Arabidopsis thaliana: one gene and its partners. The protein of the gene in region 1 binds, or shares a complex with, the protein of each later gene. Each region holds a gene or a part of one and is shown in the gene's direction. Other genes may lie near its edges. The genes, in order: AT3G58580, AT1G61470, AT5G10960 and AT5G11350.

Region 1 (5,933 bases):
ATAAGATCTTTCAAATTGGCCCATATTTAACAAAAGAAAATCGAATTAATATTATGGTTTTCTAAATGAACCAAAATCAACTCAACTTTTTTTTTTTGAATAATTTTATTTTTATTCCATAATTTAATTTGTTTATCATTTCCAATGAAATTTTATCATTAATAAAAAAGGTTGCTCTCCTCATCCCTTCCATCTTTCCTTTCACATTTTTTAGATTATACCTCATGTTTGAATAATATTGGTTTACATATCTAATTCATATTGAAAAACCCTCCAAATCTCTAGAGAAAAAGGACGATAAGAGTACTTAACTCACAAAGGGCAAATACCCAACTTTTGAATCTCCTTACATATTTTATGACAAACTATGAAGGTGTCCTCCAAATACTCTTTAATCATCTTTTGATTATCATCTATAATGATTGTTTCTTCAGACCTCATACCCATATCTTCGAGCGGTTTTAGTATCTTTACTGTCTCGTTAAATAGATTCTCATTTACCATTTCTAAGCATTTCTTCTCTTCTATCGTTAGATCAACTTTCAATTTTTGTATGTCTTTGACGGCTTCCAACAAAACTAACAACAACAAAAAGAAAAATCAAATCAAAAGATTTCACTATAAAGAACAAAAAATAAACAAATTGTTAGTTACCATCATAGAACAAATAATATTCAGCTGCCACAACCCTTTTGAAAAGTTGAATACGTTCTGTGCTTTTGCTCATCTCAACAATTTTGATTAAAAAAAAAAATATCTAATGCATTCTTTGTTACAAGGTCGAGATGTTATTTTGTAGCGTATATAGTGTTTGAGGCTTCTTTGTTTGGAAAAGATCGCTTTCGAAAAATAATAATTATTATTATTTTCCATGTTATGCTTCATATAAAATGTGGACTCAGGCCTCCGAAATAACAAATAGAAAAAATTGTGTTGAATGCTTAAAAACGAGAAAGAAATCTCTCAACTTTGATTTACTGGACACGCATTGTATTTGTTTTCTATAATTAGTTCAAAATAATAATTTGTAAATAGTTATCTAAATTCGGTAAAATACAAACCGATAACTTTTCATATCAAATACAACAAAAGTTAGATATAAATCTTAAATTTCTATACTTTAAAATTGAGTAAACCTGAAAAGAATGAAATTTAGTCTACCTAAATTTATTAAAAACCAACAAAATTTTCATAATTCGAACCTTAATTATTTCAGGTTTGAACCGCTTATATTTATGAAAACCAAATGAACTAGCTAAAACGAAAACAAAAGCGAAAATGAACATGACAATTTTGACAATGTTAAAATGTGATTCTTTCATTAATTTGACAAATTCAACAATTCTTAAGAAGATCAATTGAATTGATAAACTATGCTGCTCTTCTTGGGTAATTCTCACATTTTAAAAAAAAAACAAAAAAGAAGAAGAAGTTAATTCTACCTTAATCTGCAACAAATCGTCTTCAAGATAATTATATCACGAATTGATATTTCTTGTCTCTTAATCTTAACGAAGAAACTACACCTCCTGGCTCCTACTGAATGTGCGTTGAACACTCACCTATTGACTCATCTTCACCATTCCTTCTTTCTTCAATCTATCATAGATATAAATACACTTCTTTTAAGTCACCAATCTTGTTTTCGTAATGGTACGAGTCATAAATCTTGATTTGTCTTTGGTAAGTCATGTTTAGTTGTGGATTATTTGTTTTTACGCATTTTCTAGATTTTAAAATTTTATCTTTATATAAACAAAAATAAAACGAAAAACTTTCAATCTTTGAGCGCCAAAACCAAAATTTTCATCGAAAAGGAAGATCAATTAAAATATTATAAAATTTCATAATAATGTCTTCAAAGCACAAAATAATAGTTTTAGTATTAAACCCACTCGGGGAAAAAAAACACATAAAAAAACCAAAATCGATTTCATTGATTTTTTCCATATTCACAGCGAAAGAATCGATCCTTAATACAAAATTCCTTCAAGATCTCACATCTCTTATAAGCTTTCTCGATACCATCATTTTCCTTTCTTTTTTTCTTTTCTTCGATTCTAATTTGGTTCTGCCGGATCTTCAACCTTGTCTGAAGAAGACATTTTCTAGGGTTTCTAGAGATTGGTCGGGTTTTCGGTTCAAGTAAATGGTGGATCAGCCTATCGTACGCTCCACTTCATTAGGTTATCAACGACAATATTCATCATCTAATAATCATCATCAAGGTCTTGCTTCGATTCTGAATCTCTGCTGCTGCTGCTTCGATAGTGTTCTTCGACAATCACCAGGTGTTATTGAAAAGCAATGCTGAGCGTGATCCGAGTGCATCTTCCTTCTGAAATTCCCATTGTGGGCTGTGAATTGACTCCTTACGTCCTTGTTCGTCGTCCCGATAAGAACTCCACCACTGATGACGTCCCTGAATCTGCTCCTCTTGAAGGCTACTTCTTGAGATACAGATGGTTAGATTTCTGATTGGCTCTTTGTCTAATTGCTTTCTTGGATCATTTGGCGAATTGGGGTTTATCAAAGATTGAATTTTGATCTGAATTCAGAGATTTCTCATGTAGATGTTCTGATTTAGGTCGTCAAATGGTTTTTGTGTGTAAAGTTCTGATCTTGTTGTAGATTCATTTTTTGGATTTATTTGTTGTAGGTATCGTGTACAGAGTGATAAGAAAGTAACGATTTGCAGTGTGCATCCAACGGAACAAGCTACTTTACAGTGTGTTTTCTGTTCTAAGCGTAGATCCCTTGTTCCAAAAAGCTATCACTGTTCGCCAAAATGCTTCACGGATGCGTGGCAGCATCACAGGACTTTGCACGAGCGAGCAGCTGCGGAAAACAACGCAAACGAGGATGATGACTTGAACAGGAATAACAGTGCGGGTTCTGGGTCTCTCGCTGGTTCCTTATCTGGGTCTATGTCAAATCTTAGTATTGCCAACAATGGTCCAGCTCCGTTTTATCCTTCTAATATTACTCAGAAAAATGGAGGAGAGACTTTAGTTGAGGTTGGGGGTTGCAAAACGTACACTCCAACAGCTGATGATATTAGCCACGTTTTGAAGTTCGAGTGTGTTGTGGCTAATGCTGAGACTAAACAGATTGTCGGACATCCTAGTACCATTTTGACTTCACGGGTTATTCCTGCTCCTTCTCCAAGCCCCCGTAAGCTAATCCCTGTTAACGGAGCTGATGGGATGGGTCACTTAGATCAAGATGCTCGGATTCAGTCTGCAGGATCATTCACTGTTCTTTCATATAACATTTTGTCTGATACTTCTGCAAGTAGCGACCTCTACAGTTACTGTCCTCCTTGGGCTCTTTCATGGCCATACCGAAGACAGAATTTGTTAAGGGAGATTGTTGGATATAGAGCCGATGTAGTTTGCCTGCAAGAAGTATGTTATTCGTATGGACTTGGTAATGATTTAAAGCATTTTAATTCTGAAAAATCTACTTCTAATGTGTTCTTTTTTTTGTTATCTGGCAGGTACAAAGTGATCATTTCCATGAAATTTTTGCTCCTGAGTTGGATAAGCATGGGTATCAAGCTCTTTACAAGAGGAAGACTAATGAGGTTTGGTCAATGATTCCACACACTCCTTCCTTCAGTGATTTATGTTTTAAAATCTATTAACCACAAATTTCTTGTTGCTAGGTTCTCAGCGGAAGTACAAGTGCCATTGACGGCTGTGCAACATTTTTCCGGCGGGATAGGTTTTCGCATGTCAAGAAATATGATGTTTGTATTCAGTTCTATATGTTTACTTGCTAGATCCAGTAAGATCTCTATACTAATTCATGGACTGTAAATCCAGGTTGAATTCAACAAGGCTGCTCAGTCTTTGACTGACGCTCTAATCCCTCAGGCTCAGAAGAGAACTGCTTTAAACCGACTGGTTAAGGTATTTTTGACATGGTATACAATATTTTTCTGGGCCACAGCTGATTATCAGAGAGTTATTGTTTACAAAACTGAAACCAATGATTCTTATGTTGTAGGATAACATTGCGTTGATAGTTGTTCTTGAAGCCAAATTTGGTAATCAACCTACTGATCCTTCTGGGAAGCGCCAGCTTATTTGTGTGGTACTGGTTCTTTTTTTTTTTCCATTCTCATGAGAACTGTTAGTTTCTGTATATGCTCTTTTAGTGAAAGCCAATGAATTTTCTTATTTTGTTGTGGCAACTTGTTTAGGCAAACACACATGTAAATGTTCAACAAGATCTGAAGGATGTGAAGCTCTGGCAGGTTGGTGTATCTCTATATCCGAAATAAATCAAATTTCATTGAACTCGAAAGAATTAGTATTCACCTCATGTTTTCTTTTATTCTTTTGCGTTTAGGTTCATACCTTATTAAAGGGACTAGAGAAAATAGCAGCTAGTGCCGATATTCCTATGCTTGTGTGTGGAGACTTCAATACGCTTCCTGGGAGGTTTGTTGATTCATAAATTCTTTTGACATGATACATGAAATGCAGAATTCTCTTATGAGTAGCTAAAGTTTTTCTTTTTGGCATTTTTATGACAGTGCACCTCATACACTTCTTGTAATGGGAAAGGTTGATCCAATGCACCCAGATCTGGCAGTCGATCCCCTTAATATCCTGCGTCCTCACACCAAATTGACTCATCAATTGCCTCTGGTAACATTGCTTTTTTCGATTTAAGTAAATTTATACCGCTTATCTTTGCGTCTCTCTTGGATATTTGATAAATGAATTGGTTTCAGGTGAGCGCGTACTCATCGTTTGTGAGAAAGGGAATAATGGGTCTTGGATTGGAACAACACAGAAGGAGAATAGATCTTAATACAAACGAGCCTTTGTTTACCAATTGTACAAGGGACTTCATCGGCACTCATGACTACATATTCTACACAGGTTTCACCATTTTTAACTCCATTGTCCTTGTTTTCAACTACATCAGAAATAACAAGTTAACTTAATTGGAAGATTTTTTTGTGTTTGGGTTTCAGCGGATACATTAATGGTGGAATCTCTATTGGAATTACTGGATGAAGATGGATTAAGAAAAGACACAGCTCTTCCTTCCCCAGAATGGTCTTCTAATCACATTGCTCTCTTAGCTGAATTTCGATGCACGCCTAGGACAAGACGCGGTTAACCGCCTTCACCACCCACCATCATTTGCTTACAGATAGGTTTTTTTTTTTTGTTCCGATCTTCTTCTTTGATCAGACTATGACATCAACTGTTTAGACGAAACCTTTACCAAATCTGTGATAGAGATGACACAAAGATTCAAAGGGATTCTGAGTAAGGCAAACCACTCTATGAAGTTGGTCATTCTTTATTATGACCCCTGTGTGGCTCTGTCTAAACCTCCTTTTATATCTCATTTTGATCCTCAATATAGTGAAAACCCTTTGACTTTTCTTTTCCTTGGATCAATTTTAATGTTTGAACTGCTTTGTATGACTAAATAGCTCATGAGAATAATATGGGTCTACTAGGGGGTTTTCTTTTTTCACATTGAACAAAGAGACGATTCGTGTCTACTACATAACCATTTAAAGAGCAAACATACACATCTGTGGCTGCTCCCTAATAATAAACAATAGAGATAAGTGAGAGAGAAAGAGAACATAATCGGTTCTTGAAGAATTGAAGTTAAAGCTTAGTCCCACGCACTAGCCACTCCAGGACCATACCCTTGGTTAGGAACGGTTCCATATCCTCCAGGACCATAGTAAGCACCACCACCTCTACCATAAGGTGCATAACCACCACCCGGAACATTTCCATATCCACCACCTGGTACGGGTCCGTACCCACCAGGCATTGCTCCATAGCCACCACCAGGAACGCCTCCATATCCACCACCTCCACCATAGTAGTCAGCACCACCACCGCCTCGACTAAAAGATTCTCTCCTGAAGTCACGACCACCAAACCGTC
Region 2 (3,561 bases), on another chromosome or scaffold:
GACACAAATCCCAAAAGGTCCACATACACCGTAATAATCACATGAGTGCGCTGGAGCCACAAAGTTCAATACCCAATCAGTCCCACTATGCCTAGAAATCTCCAGTGAACCCTTCGATGTTATCACTATACGTGGAAGTTTGAAGTTTCTGTTTAAATAAGTAAGGGATCCTGACCCGTTTGCATCTTGCTAAAGGCTTAATGGATTTGTAAATGAATCATCCATTAGTGGTACCCCCGTGAACCTTGTTTTAGCCCATGGACCGCTTCTCCAATAAGGCTTCGAGCCTCTCATAGTTAAAGCTTGTGTTGGCACTTGCGTTGTAATCTGAAGCACAAAGTCACCAACCGCTGGATTAGTGTAACTTTTCCAAGAAGTCAAGACCTGCTTCTCGCCAGTGGCGAGGTTATACATCAGAGCTGAGAAAGGAAGCATAGTATCACCAAGATGGTCAAAGCTTTGCCAAAGAGTTCTTCCCGAAAAATTGTCTATGACAATAAGATTTCCGGTGTCTGAAAGCTCTGCACGAGACCCGTTAGAAGCAAGAGTTTCACCACTGGACCATGCAACGCCATGTTTTCCATTATATAACAGAAGACTTGCGTTGCTGCTGATAGCGAGATTTGCTGTGGAATCTGTAACAGGATTTTCTCTATTGGCCACCCACACAACCACCCGGGGAATGATTCCCTTGAACCAGATTCCAAGATAATGATTTTCCGAGTTATTAAAACTGAAGAAACCCAATTCATAAACTCCATTAGAGGAGCTGAGAGTTTGTCCTATTGACAAAGGACTCTCTTTGTTTATCCCTGCAATTGCAAAGCTAAAACTTATAAAGATGGTATTGGTAAATAAGAGCAAAGAAGCAAAGAACGTGATCCTCATCGTCCCCGTTTGTTTGTTTTTTTCTTTCTCCAATAACTATCTTTTTTGGATTAGTGTGTATGAAGCAAGAGAGCCGGGGAAAAAAAAAACACTGTGTCTTGTCAGAACTACTTTACTTATTTTCCAAAAATATGCATTATTTAATAAATACATGATAGATACATTGGCACGAAGAAGTCATTACCGTATCAGATACGCAACGTTTTCATTGTTCCAGTCCTTACTAGCTTGTTAGGCCCAGAAGAACCTATATTTTTCTTGAACTGCAGACTATGAATTATCTCGTTTAGGCATTTCCTCGAACACTTGCAGTGCATAACAAAAAGTCAGAGCTTCGGTGATGTCTTGAAGACCTTAATGACCCCAATCGATTGATTCGTACTCCAACCATATGGGCTTAACTGTCACTATCCAAAAGCAGCCGAATAATTCAACAGTCAAGATTGACTTGTGTCAGTGTATGACAGGTTGCTTGACTTGTGTCGTCAAGCCACTAACCCAGAGAAGAACCTTCCGGGAAGACTTAAAATAAAGTCTTTTGTCAATTTCGTGTATTTCGGGATGGAAAATTAGACTTTAATTTGTAATAGGAATTTAATTCGGTTTAGCGTTGAAATCGTAAACCGCTTCGGAAACAAGGCTTTTGAGTTTTGAGAGAGAAATTAGAATTTAATTCGGTTCGGGCAAGGAATTTAATTCGGTTTAGTGTTAAAAATTGAAAACCGCTTCGGAACCACGCGTTTTTTTGTTTTTGAATTTTAAGAGAAAAATTGAAAACTCGTGTTTAACAAGAATTAGGAGTCAAAAAAGTCAACACGAACTTTTGATGGAAAAAAAATGAAAACTTTATAGTATCCTAAAAATAAGGAAACTGAAGTCGGTGTCTTAATCTAATCCCTATAAATTCTCTAATAATATAACGCCAACCAAATAAAATTCATTTGTTATCTCACTTTCTCTTTCAGATAAACAAACAGTTTCTTAGTTTCGTTCGAGATGAGCGGTGAAGTTTGGAGATGGAACAAGCAAGCAGAGATGAATTCGATAAGAGATTGTTTGAAACATTGTAATTCCATCGCTATCGACACAGAGTTTCCCGGATGCTTAAAGGAGACTCCCATGGACGCAAGTGATGAAATTCGTTATAGAGACATGAAATTCAATGTGGACAACACCCATCTCATCCAGTTAGGGTTAACGCTATTCGGCAAAGGAATCACTAAAACCTGGGAGATCAACTTGTCAGATTTCAACGAATCTAAGAGCTTGAAAAATGATAAATCTATAGCGTTTTTAAAAAACAATGGTTTGGATCTGGATAAGATCAGAGAAGAAGGTATTGGAATCGAAGAGTTCTTCATGGAGTTTTCTCAGATTCTCAATGAGAAACATGGAAAAATGAGATGGGTGACTTTTCAAGGCTCTTACGACAAAGCTTATCTACTTAAAGGTTTAACTAGAAAACCATTACCCGAGACTTCGAAAGAGTTTGATGAAACCGTCCAGCAGCTTTTGGGAAGGTTTGTTTATGATGTGAAGAAAATGGCTGGATTATGCAGCGGACTAAGTAGCCGTTTCGGACTACAGAGAATAGCGGATGTGTTGCAGATGAGGCGTGTTGGAAAAGCTCATCACGCTGGATCAGACAGCGAATTGACGGCTCGTGTCTTCACTAAGTTGATTTTCGATTTGGTCAATAGTAGAAAGGAGAGTACTGGAAGAAGAGCTGATGATCAGCAATATCAACTAGAGCAGCAGCAGCATCAGCAACAGCTTATGATGACTAGATGTTACATCCCGATACCGGTCCAAGGAAGGAACTACGTATTGTGATCCCTCAATGTTTAGCATGTCTTGTTGCTAGTATGCAAATTCTTTCTTTATATGCTTAGGATTTAACTTTCAGCTTTTATTGTCCATCAAAACAATTCTCTCAATATTATGACTATTGCTCTTTAGTAAATACTTTAATGAATCTAAAGTTAGAATCTACTCAAAAGCCTCTCATGTAACATCTTTGTCTTGGAATTACTATCTATCAGTTTCCTCCGAATTGAGCTGAAGATATGTAACAAGCCCAGTTTTTTCCTTTTTCGCTATACACTAATCAAAATTTGGAATCTATGTGAAATATTTTGTTAGTACCAATTATGAGTTGTTTTGGTTGGAGTGTCACACTTTTCTCCTGTGGACTTGAGTTTCTTCTTCACTTTTAATACGTGCAAATTCAATCATGGCTCCCTTATTTAGATTTAAGGCATTGACTAATTCTACTTTTATACTATGAGGATATGATAGTATCTAACCAATGGAAACCCAAAATTATGAGCTCATTTGGCTCTGCAGATAAGCTCCTCACAAGATTAGACAATTCTGCTGGAGAACAACTGGAAATGCAAACTCTATAGTAAATCATTGGTCAACCAAATTGGAAGCTCATCTATAGTAATTTTCTCTATTTACTTAAGTGAAAAATCTTTTACAAAAAGCATGAAAGGTTAAGTTATATACATTCGAAAACTGATTCCTTTCGTGAACAATCAAACACACATTCACTCTACAGGTTTCATCACATAATCTCTTACCGCCCTAGGATCATAGAATGGGTCATCTCATTGACAGTGATCAACCTCTTAGACGGTGATTCATCAACTACCGTGTTCACTACAAATG
Region 3 (4,382 bases), on another chromosome or scaffold:
CCAAAACCCATAAAATTAAACAAATATTTGGTACTAGATGATTTACCTAATCTAAATTATATGTGCACGTGATATTAAAGAATTTATCTACGTTAAATACATGCAACTGTTTAAATAATTCTTTCTAATTTAAGTAACAAAAATTTCAATTTTAGTTTCTATTTTCGTTTTTTTCGATTTTGATTTTAAATATAGAATTCTATTTAGATTTTAGATGAGCAAGCAATTACACGGTGAGACATATTTTTGGAGGGTAACAATTAAGTAAATTTTGTTATATATATAAGAACAATTATGCAGAAACTTTCATGTTTGGTATGTGTTGGATTCCAGAAGAAATTTCCTAAAAATGGTCGGATGATGAAACCACCATCTAATATTTCGTGACTTGACATTACTTGTTTATTTTTTTTAATTTATAGAAAAAGGTACACAATTATTTGATATAAAACAAGCTAATACATTAGTTTATATAAAAACGAATTAATTATTACAAAACAATGGATTATGCTTGAGGGTAAGTGGGAAGCACGATGATGCCTTGACTCCGTAATAATAATTAGAATTAAAATTCCTTTATCCCCTTTCTTCCTAATAGTTGTCTTTTTTTGTAAAAAAAAAAAGAACTTTGGTCCTCGTTTGAGTTGGAGAATCTTTTCATGTAATAATTTTAAGAAGAAAAACTGATTACGCTGGTGAAACTTGAAAGTTTTTTTCTAAAATAAATAAATCTAAAATGATTCTATTCATGAACGAAGATGATTGTAACAAGTGATGCATGTATCTCTATCAAACGTCTTCCCATTCGTTGTATGATTGCATTAATATTGGCCACTTGTAACTTGTAAGGTAGAAATCCCAAAGTCAATTCTATTATAATTAAAATTACTTTGTTTTGTTTAACAATTATGCTAACAAATCCTTCTTAATAACAAGATAACATAAATCTAAAATCCTTTTTTTGAGTTGAAAAAAAACAAGATACCATATTTTCAATTAATTGGCAGAACTACATAGGAAACAAATCCGAAATTGAAGAGTTTACATAGAAGAAAAAAAAACAGAAATAAAAGAGTTTACCTGGAAAATAATCAAATATTATGTTCTTTCAAATTTTCGACAAAAAAAAAAATTGATATTCTTTCAATTTTGTGAGATAATCAGTACAGAAATTATTAAAATGTGATATAAAATTGCGAGACAATCCGTAGGAATATTATTACCAAATGATATAAAACTGAGTTAAAATTGTAAGAAAAAGAAGTTTTAAGGTTCTTCAAATCATCTAGCTGACTAGCTCCATAGCAAAAATAAATAATTTTGATTGTTTATTAGCACAATCTGTTTCTTAACCATATAAATTTAGACTTGTACAAAAATCAAAATGCAGTTTAGTTTATACAACTTTTCCTATAACTATAAAGTTCGATCGTCATAATAAGGTATAACAATTTAACTCTAGTACCAAATGCTATAAAATACATAAAATTTAAGAATAATGGAGGTAGGTCTACAAAGCAAAAGAAAAAAAAAAGATCATGGAAGTTACAAACGAACGGAATTTCCGTGATACACATAAATAAAAATTGGTCATCATATCACACAATTCGCATCATTAAAATAATTAGAAAACGGACAATACGGATAAAATAATTGGTAACTGGCCAAAACGTAATGATTGATGTAAGAAGACGCACGGCAAAACGTCGTCGTATAAGCTTTTCATCGTCAAACAAAACGGCTTCGTTTCAAGGCTCACACTTGTCTTTATTTATCACTTCATCTTCTCCAAAGCCATACCACTTGAAACCTCTCTCTCTGGTTGACCCGATAATTTCTCTCTCGCAGACGCACAGATCTCTCTTCGAATCTGCTAGATCTGTTCCTTTTCTTACATCTGTATTGCGAAACCTCTGGTAATTTCATACTTTCATGTCTCTCCGTTTCATTTCGATTTTCGTTTCACAGCTAGGGTTTGCTTTTTGTTACATCGATTTCTGATTTTCCTGGTGTTGTTGCCTCTTCCTCAGATCGGAAGGTTTCGTTTACAGATCTACCGATACGAGTTTCGCAGTATTTCCGAGTTCCGACGTATGCTTTGTTTTCAGATCTGGGTTTGTTGTATATCTAGAAATGGCGGAGACTTTGAAAGAAGATTCGATTATGATTCGAGAGGTTTGGGATTACAATTTGGTTGAAGAATTCGCGTTGATCCGTGAGATTGTTGACAAATTCAGCTATATCGCTATGGATACTGAGTTTCCAGGTGTGGTTTTGAAGCCTGTTGCTACTTTCAAGTACAATAACGATCTTAACTACAGGACTCTCAAGGAAAATGTCGATTTGTTGAAATTGATTCAAGTTGGGTTAACTTTTTCTGATGAGAATGGGAATCTTCCGACTTGTGGGACGGATAAGTTCTGCATCTGGCAATTCAATTTCCGTGAGTTCAACATCGGTGAGGATATCTACGCGAGTGAGTCTATTGAGCTGTTGCGTCAGTGTGGGATTGATTTCAAGAAGAACATTGAGAAAGGTATTGATGTGGTTAGGTTTGGTGAGCTTATGATGTCGTCTGGGATTGTTTTGAACGATGCTATCTCGTGGGTTACGTTCCATGGTGGATATGATTTCGGGTATTTGGTTAAGTTGTTGACTTGTAAGGAATTGCCTCTCAAGCAAGCTGATTTCTTCAAGCTTCTGTATGTGTATTTCCCTACGGTTTACGATATCAAGCACTTGATGACGTTCTGCAACGGACTGTTTGGTGGATTGAACAGACTTGCGGAGCTTATGGGAGTGGAGAGAGTTGGGATTTGTCATCAAGCTGGGTCGGATAGCTTGCTCACCTTAGGGTCGTTTAGGAAGCTCAAGGAACGTTATTTCCCGGGATCAACTGAGAAATACACTGGAGTCTTGTATGGTCTAGGTGTGGAAGATGGTACTACTACTACTGTTGCTAATTAAGAAGAAAGGAATGAAAGATACTTTGAAAATTCCAGGGAAGTGCGATTAGATATATTTCTTTAGTCTTTGTGAGTGTGAGAAGACCAAAATAGAATCGTCGTTGTGTAAATTGGCAAATTGGTGTTAGTAAGTGACTTGTTGTGTCTTTGTTGCTTTGTTTTCAGGAAAACCCCTTGTGATCAAAATTTGAGGGGTTTTTGTTTTAGCTTGAGTTTCTGAATGTATATCAATTCAGCTACCCGTTTATTTAATAAATAATCTCCAATTTTAATTTTTCTTCTCTTTTCTTTTTGTGTGTGTTTTCTTCTTACTAGTGACCAATGTAACTTGACAGTGGCTTCTTGTAGTAGCGTTTGCATGTCTCAGCTTGCAGTTACTGTGTAATTCTTTGTAACCATACCAGTTTGAAGATGCAAACTGGTAAGTTTTATGCTTAAGAGAATGTTGAATCTTCCTGTGTTCTTCTTTCCCTCTTCGTTGATACAAGTTGATAAGGAGAACAATGAACTGCTTATGCTAGAGGTTATATGTGTTACATTGTTTAAAAAACAGAGCTATGGTAATCGATTGATGTATAGATTTGTTATTTAGGTGTTTATGATGTAAGTGGTATCATGTCATGGTTAATGTGGAGGAGAATCACATATGTATGCTGTTGCATTCGCCAATCACCTCAATAGCCAATTTATTATCATATTGTCAATGAGTAGCATTCTAATGCAATCAATGTTTTGTTGGGCAAGTATTCAGACGTCATCTGAGTCGCAAGTGGTACAGAAGATTACGAGATTTGACTGATTGAGACGTCGTAGCTCATTCAATTGCCGAAGAAAAAAAAAAAAGTATCAGCCTGTTGGAAGTATTATGTCAAAATGTGGATTTGTGTATGAACTCAGTTTCCATCAAGATAATTAAATCTAAGTTTCTCAAAACCTTAAATATTTCATTACACGAACTTGTTTGATGATCGAAAACATATGATCCAATAGCAACACGACACGAGAAATAAAGTAAAAAGAAGAAAACAACAGCAATACGGCAAAAGTCCGAGTCACTATTATGTAGGTGTGGCAGAGAATCAAATCTACTTCTTATTACAGAAGAAACAGTGTACTTGCTAGTCCTGTCTTTAACGGCTTCTCTGAGTCTCTTCACGTGTGTTTGTGTGTTGGGAATTGGGATTCTGATTTGGGCCTTTGTTGTGTGGGCTTTGATCAGAGGTGGGAGAACGTTTTTACCAAGGTTGAATTGGGATTCTGATTTGGGCATGTTTGTTGTTTTAGGGTTTAGTTATTATCAAATGACCACTATTGGCTATTGCTTTGCTTTAGGTAACCAAAAAAACGTTACATATTTAAATAAAAATGTGTAACACAGTGCGGACGAAATAGCATCAAAATTATTTATATACATAT
Region 4 (6,398 bases), on another chromosome or scaffold:
TGTCTTTTTACCTGAGCGAGCATTAGTAGTCGAGTTTGTTCCTTTAATAGGAAAAGTTTGCTTTGGGGGGTTTATGATGAACTGTTCTGTGATTAGGCTTGGTATACTCTACAAAGAAAGTACCTTTTGCAATCCTGCTTTCCTTTGGTTGTTTGTTTAGTTGGTTCACTGGTCATTGTAATAGGTGTGATTATCTGTGTCTTCTCTTTTGTTCGGTTCCGTGAATTTATTTGACTGAGCCATGTTTTATTTAGGTTCAGTACTAGTGTCTGATACTAGGAAGAAGATGATTTTATCGGTAATATTGGTAGAAGCCTTCTTTCTAAGCCTTGAATGGATCGATTTTGTTTGCTTTCTATTGTCTGTTGTTTCGTAATTACCGATTCATGTTTGAACTTTGTGGTTGATGACATTGATGTTGACAAAGTATCATCTTGATCGTTGTTTTAAGTTGTTTGACTATATGAATACTGCATTCTTTTGTTCAACCAAGCAAAATTTTTTGTATGTTAAGCATGTGTACCTTGTAATCTATCGCTGATTGACTTATATTATCTTTCGAGAACATGGTCCAAGACTAATTTTCGTATTCACAGAATTTTTTCAAGCTCACTTTTGTGAAACCCTTGGTTGGAACATCTTTTGCGTCAACTAGTTCTTTAAATGTACAATAAGATGTGATTATGAAAGTCTAAAGACTGTTAACAACGTCTTAAATTTGGTACTAACTATTTCATTGCAGTTGCTTGGGTAGTTATGTTCTTGGTGTTACATATATTTTCTCTAATTTGTGATCAAGGAAAATTCTTCATGTTCTAATAATGGATTGACTTCCTCTCAGCATATTACAATGACATATGTGTTGGAGCTATCGCCTGTCGGCTGGAGAAGAAAGAAAGTGGGGCCATGCGAGTTTATATAATGACGCTTGGTGTTCTTGCACCCTACCGTGGGATTGGCATTGGTAAGTCATAAATCTGCTGTGCAAAACTTGAATACCGACAAAACATGAATAATGAAGAAAACTGTTAGCATGTTGTGTAATTCTGTTGTTTTCCTTACGTTTTAACACATGAGGCCAGCTGTAGTATGTTTATTCTGTAGTTCTCTATTTGAAGTGTCTCCATTTAGAGATTCAAACCACCAAGAAATAGTCCTTAGGGTTTTATGCATATCGTTGTTTTACCGAGAAACTGGAATTATGATTCCTCCTATATCAAGATTTAAGATCGAATTCCCTGCTTTAGAAAGAAAAACTCGATGTCTATAATTTGTGTATCTTGTTTTTTTCGTCTTTTGCAGGCTCAAATCTATTGAATCATGTTCTTGACATGTGCTCCAAGCAAAACATGTGTGAGATATACTTGCATGTGCAGACAAACAACGAAGACGCAATCAAGTTCTACAAGAAGTTCGGCTTTGAGATCACAGATACCATACAAAACTATTACATCAACATTGAGCCAAGAGATTGCTACGTTGTCAGCAAGTCCTTTGCTCAATCTGAAGCCAACAAATGATGAAAAATACCAAACTTGGGGAAGCCATTCCTCCCCAGTTTCTTTGTTGCATTCAGTTCAAGATCTATTAATGTTATGATGATCCTTCGGTTTCCGAGTTTTGCTTGTTTTGTTGACCTTAATTTTTCTTACTGATTCTAAATTTATAAATTCCTGGTTATATACTTGCATGATTTCTCTAATGTCCTCTTGGCTTTGGACATTTTCGTTTGGAAAAGTTTTTAACTTTGCAACTCAAAGCTTTACTACCAAGTATCATCGTGTTTGTAAATGTTGGTCTATGAATTTGAGTAAAGAGAGACAATGATTCTTGTTATGAGCTGTAGAATAAAGTAAAGAAAAAAATGAAGAATTTATGACTTGCGTTTTGGCTTGCGTGCCATTTATTCACAGTGAAGACTGGAAGATGTGTTCTTCTTGAATCAAAAAACGGCACGTCTTATGAGTCTCCGTTCATCGGTGTCTGCAATTAAGCACCGGTTCCTCGAGCTTCCTCACTCAATTCGATTGACCAATGCGGCGTTCTCGTTTTGTTGCTCAAGTTTTCTCCGACGTTACCTTCGCTGACGCCTCCACTATCTCTGCTCCAATCTTCACCATGTCTACTCGTGCTCCGGTAAATTTTCTCAGCTATTCTCTTGTTCTATCACTCCCGCTGCGTTGCTTCGGTTACTGGAATATAATTTGTTTCTTACGAAGCAGTACAGAGGTGCCCGAGGACGAGGACGAGGCCGAGGTGGGAGAAGTTTCTCCGATCGTCCGTACAATGATGACGCGGGAAGAGATCAGTTCGTTACTGGAGATTCTCATTTTCAATCAGTTCATGACGCCAATTTCCGATTCCGGCATGGTGAACCTTATCGACAACATCAGCCTCCGCTTGATCAGCGGCAGCAACCACCGTTCAATCAGAATTACGAATTTCGACCTCCGCCGCCGTCACGAGGTCAGTGGCAACAATTCCGTCAACCTAATCAGTTTCCGTCTAATCAAAACTACGCGGCTTGCCCTCCCCCTCCGTTCTATCAAAACCAGATGTCCCGGCCGCCTCCACAGCAGAGCTTTCGTCAACGGCCACGGTCAAAACCTTCAGATTACCGTGAATGGGAATATGCCAAAACGCCACCGTCTCCTGGCTCCGGTAATTTATGCGTGACCATCTCATTTGCTCCGGTATACAATTTTTGATTTGCTTTCTCTTGTCTACAGAAAAGTTTGTTGTTTTATCGTATAATATATTGGCGGATTACCTTGCAAATGATCACTGGAGAAGTCTTTACTTTCACATACCGAGGAATATGTTGAGTTGGGGATGGAGAAAGAGCAAATTAGTGTTCGAGCTTAGCCTATGGTCTGCAGATATAATGTGCCTTCAGGTTATAGTTTCTGCTATATCTTCTTGGTAATTGCTTGTATGAGGGACTAAGGAGACAAAACTTTCTTGCTTTACTATTTTTTTATCATATGTATACAGAATGTATCTTCCATATGTATAGTAATCTAAAATTATTTTGTATATGTCAGGAAGTTGATAAATTTCAGGACTTAGAGGAGGAGATGAAGCACCGGGGATATAGTGCTATTTGGAAGGTAGGTTTGTTGAAAACTTTTAGTTGTCTTGAGTTTGTATTCTCTACGGACTCTCTTGGAGTAAAGATTAAATGGTATGCATCATAAGAACTAGGCTTCAAATGTGGGGTTAACTCTATTTTATAAAACTGTAGATGCGGACTGGTAATGCTGTTGACGGATGTGCAATATTTTGGCGATCCAATAGGTTTGATTCCCTTGCTCTTCCTTGTGTGGATCAGTCTGGAATCTTGTTTAGGATTTCATTGTTATCATATTAGATTCAAGTTGGTTCACGAGGAAAGCATCCAGTTCAATCAACTTGGTCTCCGAGATAACGTTGCTCAAATATGTGTGCTTGAGGTAATATGGATACCTTATGTTGATAGTGACTTATATACATTTGCCTCTTTGCCCTAAATTAAATTTGCTCTGTGTAGACATTGTTGACTTCACATACAAAAGAAAATGAGACCCCTCCACCTGAAAGGTAACTTAAAAGTATCTGTAAATGTTACTATCATATCATTTTATGGGTGGATAATTTCACTAGGAAGTGGCCGATTTTCTTCAGATTTCAGTGGTTTTCTGTATGGACTATACTTTGTGGGTGGGTTGAAGTGAATTACCAATTTCTTTTACAGCTCTGCTGGTTCCCATCGAGTTGTCATTTGTAACATTCACGTGCTTTTTAATCCTAAAAGAGGAGACTTTAAACTTGGTCAGGTACTTTCCTTTAATGCCATATTCTAGTTTGTAGAAATCTTTTGCCAAACGACAGTTTTACTCTCTGGTTTAACTCTGTCTATACGCTATGAACATGTATAAGTGTTAGGTGTTTGAGATAAAACTTTTGAAACCAAACGCTTCGCCCCTTGCTTAACTTGGTTTCTTTAACTGTTTCCATTTATCATCTATGTATTTATCTCTGTTACGTAGGTCAGAACACTCTTAGATAAAGCTCATGCTGTTTCAAAACTCTGGGATGATGCGCCTATTGTTCTTTGTGGGGATTTCAATTGTACACCAAAGGTAGGACAATCTTACCTTAACCAGTTTGTATACCCCAAAAAACTTGTTTTGTGACATGGTCATAACATTCTTCCACCTGGTTGCAGAGTCCTTTGTACAACTTTATTTCAGACCGGAAGGTAAAGCTTCATTGTTAGGAAAGTCCTTCACCTATTCGCAACATTATATATATGGTTCACATTGTGTCTTGTGCTGCTCTCTGCAGTTGGATTTGTCTGGTTTGGCCAGAGACAAAGTTTCGGGGCAAGTTTCTGCTGAGTTTCGTCCACCAAGGCCAGAAAATTATACAACGAGGTAGAGCAAACTCACCAAGTTCTTCGACATCATTAAGTATATGGTTATGCAACTTAACACCTCCATGTCTACCCTAGAATATCGGGTTCTACTCTGCTTTTGCAATTGTCAGCATGGTTGATAGGCCTCCTCAATTTTCCAGGTATCAGTCCGCCAACAAATCTCCACAAGGTCAAGTTCAACCACCAAATTTGATCACAAATGCTCATATGGAGAATAACTCCAACATAGATGTTGGAACGGCCCCCTCCGAGAAGACATCTGAGCTTCCATGTGGTGATACAATTCTTGCTGGTCACGAAGCCACCTCCAGCTCTGACCAAGTATTACCATGCGAGAATATGGCCTCAGATTGTCAGTTTGGAATAGAAAACAGAAAACCTGATGATTCCGGGAATCTCTCGACAGCTGAAGATCTTTCTTCACTAACCATATCAGATACAGAACCTCAACATGCTTCCAGTGCTAGAGAAGATTTGAATACAGATCGTTCTGTAAGTTCCGGTTTATCAGAAACAGAGCAAACTCCTGAGGAAATATGTTCCAGTGATCAAGATATTTCATCTAGTCTCTCCACCAAGGTTGACACTTTTGTGGCTGAAATGAAACTAGATGGCTTAAAATTGGACGAACCAGTAGTATTCGCGCAAGATGAAGAAAGTTTAGGTGAAGATGGGGAAACCTTTTTGGCTAAGCTACACGATAACAATGAAAACTTGAGTCAAAAAGGGGAACTTGTGAGTGAAGTTCCACTTAAATGGAGTTCTGAAGCTTTAAATAGTGACAAAATCACTTATAGTCCATCCTCTTGGACTCCAATGGAGATAGCAACTGCAACTGGTGACCCAGAGAGAACTACGGTTGAACATGCTCTGGAGCTTAAAAGCACATACTCAGAAGTGGAGGTATTGTAATATATCCTCCCTACAGTTTTTCCCTTTTATCTTCTGTTTCTTGAGAAATTATATCCTTAGGAAGCTGTTGAAATTTGTGGTTAGGGTCAAGCAAACACAAGGGATGAAAACGGAGAACCTGTAGTGACCAGTTATCACAGATGTTTCATGGGGACAGTTGACTACATATGGTATTAGCATTAGAAGCAAAACCATTTGTGACAAACCTTAAAATTAGATTACTTCATTATTGTAAATTATGCGCGTTTTGACATATTCTCATGTTTGATTTCTGGTTTGGGTTAGGCGGTCGGAAGGTCTTCAAACAGTGCGTGTGCTTGCTCCAATACCAAAGCAAGCAATGCAGTGGACTCCAGGCTTCCCGACTCCTGTAAAATCCCATGATATTCTTATATAGCCTACCTTTTTAACTGAATTGTTTACAAAACTTTTTTATGTTTGTATTTCTGGTTTGTTACAGAAATGGGGAAGCGATCACATTGCACTGGTTTCAGAGTTGGCCTTCTGCAGCAGCAAAACTCTGCCCAAAAGCTGATATTAAACTGGTGGTGAGTTCATTAGAAATCTAAGAAAGTGTAAAGAGATTAGATGGTTGAGGTCTTGGGTTCAAAGCACATCCTTGTTGCAATGTTTGTGCTCTGAAGGTCGCCAATAGCTTATTTTATATCCCAGCAAAACATCTAAGAGTAAACTTTTACAGAATCTCATAGGCTCTAGTTTTGTATTTTTCTCTATCATATTTTACAGTGACAAATTATATTTGAGTTTTTCTTTTTGGGCGACACTCGATTTCAGAAAATCTGCTATAAAAGTTTAAAGCATGCTTCTTGATTTTAAATAGCTTCAATTGTTAACCCCTAACTCTTTCAGCTTTAGTCTAGACTGACTCTTTCAATTATTACAAATAAACACCTAGCATTTATCCATGTCCCTGTGTCCAATATAAGGACATCTCACATTAGGACCTAATCCCTGCAATATAATTCAGAGCATCCAAAACTTCTTGCATCAATGGTCGTTTCTTCTTGTCCCGATTGGTGCATCTTTGGATGAGTGTGACAATCTTTGT

The links.
Region 2: AT3G58580 (region 1) and AT1G61470 share a complex: the UniProt entries of both Arabidopsis thaliana proteins name them as parts of the CCR4-NOT complex.
Region 3: AT3G58580 (region 1) and AT5G10960 share a complex: the UniProt entries of both Arabidopsis thaliana proteins name them as parts of the CCR4-NOT complex.
Region 4: AT3G58580 (region 1) and AT5G11350 share a complex: the UniProt entries of both Arabidopsis thaliana proteins name them as parts of the CCR4-NOT complex.

The regions. Positions count from the first base shown.
Region 1 is NC_003074.8:21,660,072-21,666,004, reverse strand, and holds AT3G58580 (DNAse I-like superfamily protein), read left to right. Parts: upstream 1-1,909; 5' UTR 1,910-2,307; coding exon 2,308-2,465; intron 2,466-2,659; coding exon 2,660-3,407; intron 3,408-3,499; coding exon 3,500-3,586; intron 3,587-3,667; coding exon 3,668-3,751; intron 3,752-3,827; coding exon 3,828-3,914; intron 3,915-4,011; coding exon 4,012-4,098; intron 4,099-4,207; coding exon 4,208-4,261; intron 4,262-4,356; coding exon 4,357-4,448; intron 4,449-4,543; coding exon 4,544-4,658; intron 4,659-4,744; coding exon 4,745-4,895; intron 4,896-4,990; coding exon 4,991-5,139; 3' UTR 5,140-5,407; downstream 5,408-5,933. Other genes in the region: AT3G58570 (P-loop containing nucleoside triphosphate hydrolases superfamily protein), read right to left, coding at 5,653-5,933. UniProt on the Arabidopsis thaliana protein: Acts as a catalytic component of the CCR4-NOT core complex, which in the nucleus seems to be a general transcription factor, and in the cytoplasm the major mRNA deadenylase involved in mRNA turnover.
Region 2 is NC_003070.9:22,676,301-22,679,861, forward strand, and holds AT1G61470 (Polynucleotidyl transferase, ribonuclease H-like superfamily protein), read left to right. Parts: upstream 1-1,791; 5' UTR 1,792-1,884; coding exon 1,885-2,721; 3' UTR 2,722-3,002; downstream 3,003-3,561. Other genes in the region: AT1G61460 (G-type lectin S-receptor-like Serine/Threonine-kinase), read right to left, coding at 1-148, 245-888; AT1G61475 (ATP binding / protein kinase), read right to left, coding at 3,470-3,561. UniProt on the Arabidopsis thaliana protein: Ubiquitous transcription factor required for a diverse set of processes. It is a component of the CCR4 complex involved in the control of gene expression.
Region 3 is NC_003076.8:3,462,448-3,466,829, forward strand, and holds AT5G10960 (Polynucleotidyl transferase, ribonuclease H-like superfamily protein), read left to right. Parts: upstream 1-1,650; 5' UTR 1,651-1,916; intron 1,917-2,030; 5' UTR 2,031-2,133; coding exon 2,134-2,967; 3' UTR 2,968-3,867; downstream 3,868-4,382. UniProt on the Arabidopsis thaliana protein: Ubiquitous transcription factor required for a diverse set of processes. It is a component of the CCR4 complex involved in the control of gene expression.
Region 4 is NC_003076.8:3,619,549-3,625,946, forward strand, and holds AT5G11350 (DNAse I-like superfamily protein), read left to right. Parts: upstream 1-1,970; 5' UTR 1,971-2,034; coding exon 2,035-2,136; intron 2,137-2,219; coding exon 2,220-2,661; exon of another isoform or gene 2,662-2,668; coding exon of another isoform or gene 2,669-2,729; coding exon 2,730-2,896; intron 2,897-3,044; coding exon 3,045-3,110; intron 3,111-3,244; coding exon 3,245-3,297; intron 3,298-3,370; coding exon 3,371-3,452; intron 3,453-3,529; coding exon 3,530-3,579; intron 3,580-3,733; coding exon 3,734-3,815; intron 3,816-4,028; coding exon 4,029-4,121; intron 4,122-4,207; coding exon 4,208-4,240; intron 4,241-4,326; coding exon 4,327-4,415; intron 4,416-4,557; coding exon 4,558-5,320; intron 5,321-5,413; coding exon 5,414-5,499; coding exon of another isoform or gene 5,500-5,506; intron 5,507-5,614; coding exon 5,615-5,699; coding exon of another isoform or gene 5,700-5,726; intron 5,727-5,789; coding exon 5,790-5,864; downstream 5,865-6,398. Other genes in the region: AT5G11340 (Acyl-CoA N-acyltransferases (NAT) superfamily protein), read left to right, coding at 842-964, 1,303-1,520; AT5G11360 (Interleukin-1 receptor-associated kinase 4 protein), read right to left, coding at 6,288-6,398. UniProt on the Arabidopsis thaliana protein: Acts as a catalytic component of the CCR4-NOT core complex, which in the nucleus seems to be a general transcription factor, and in the cytoplasm the major mRNA deadenylase involved in mRNA turnover.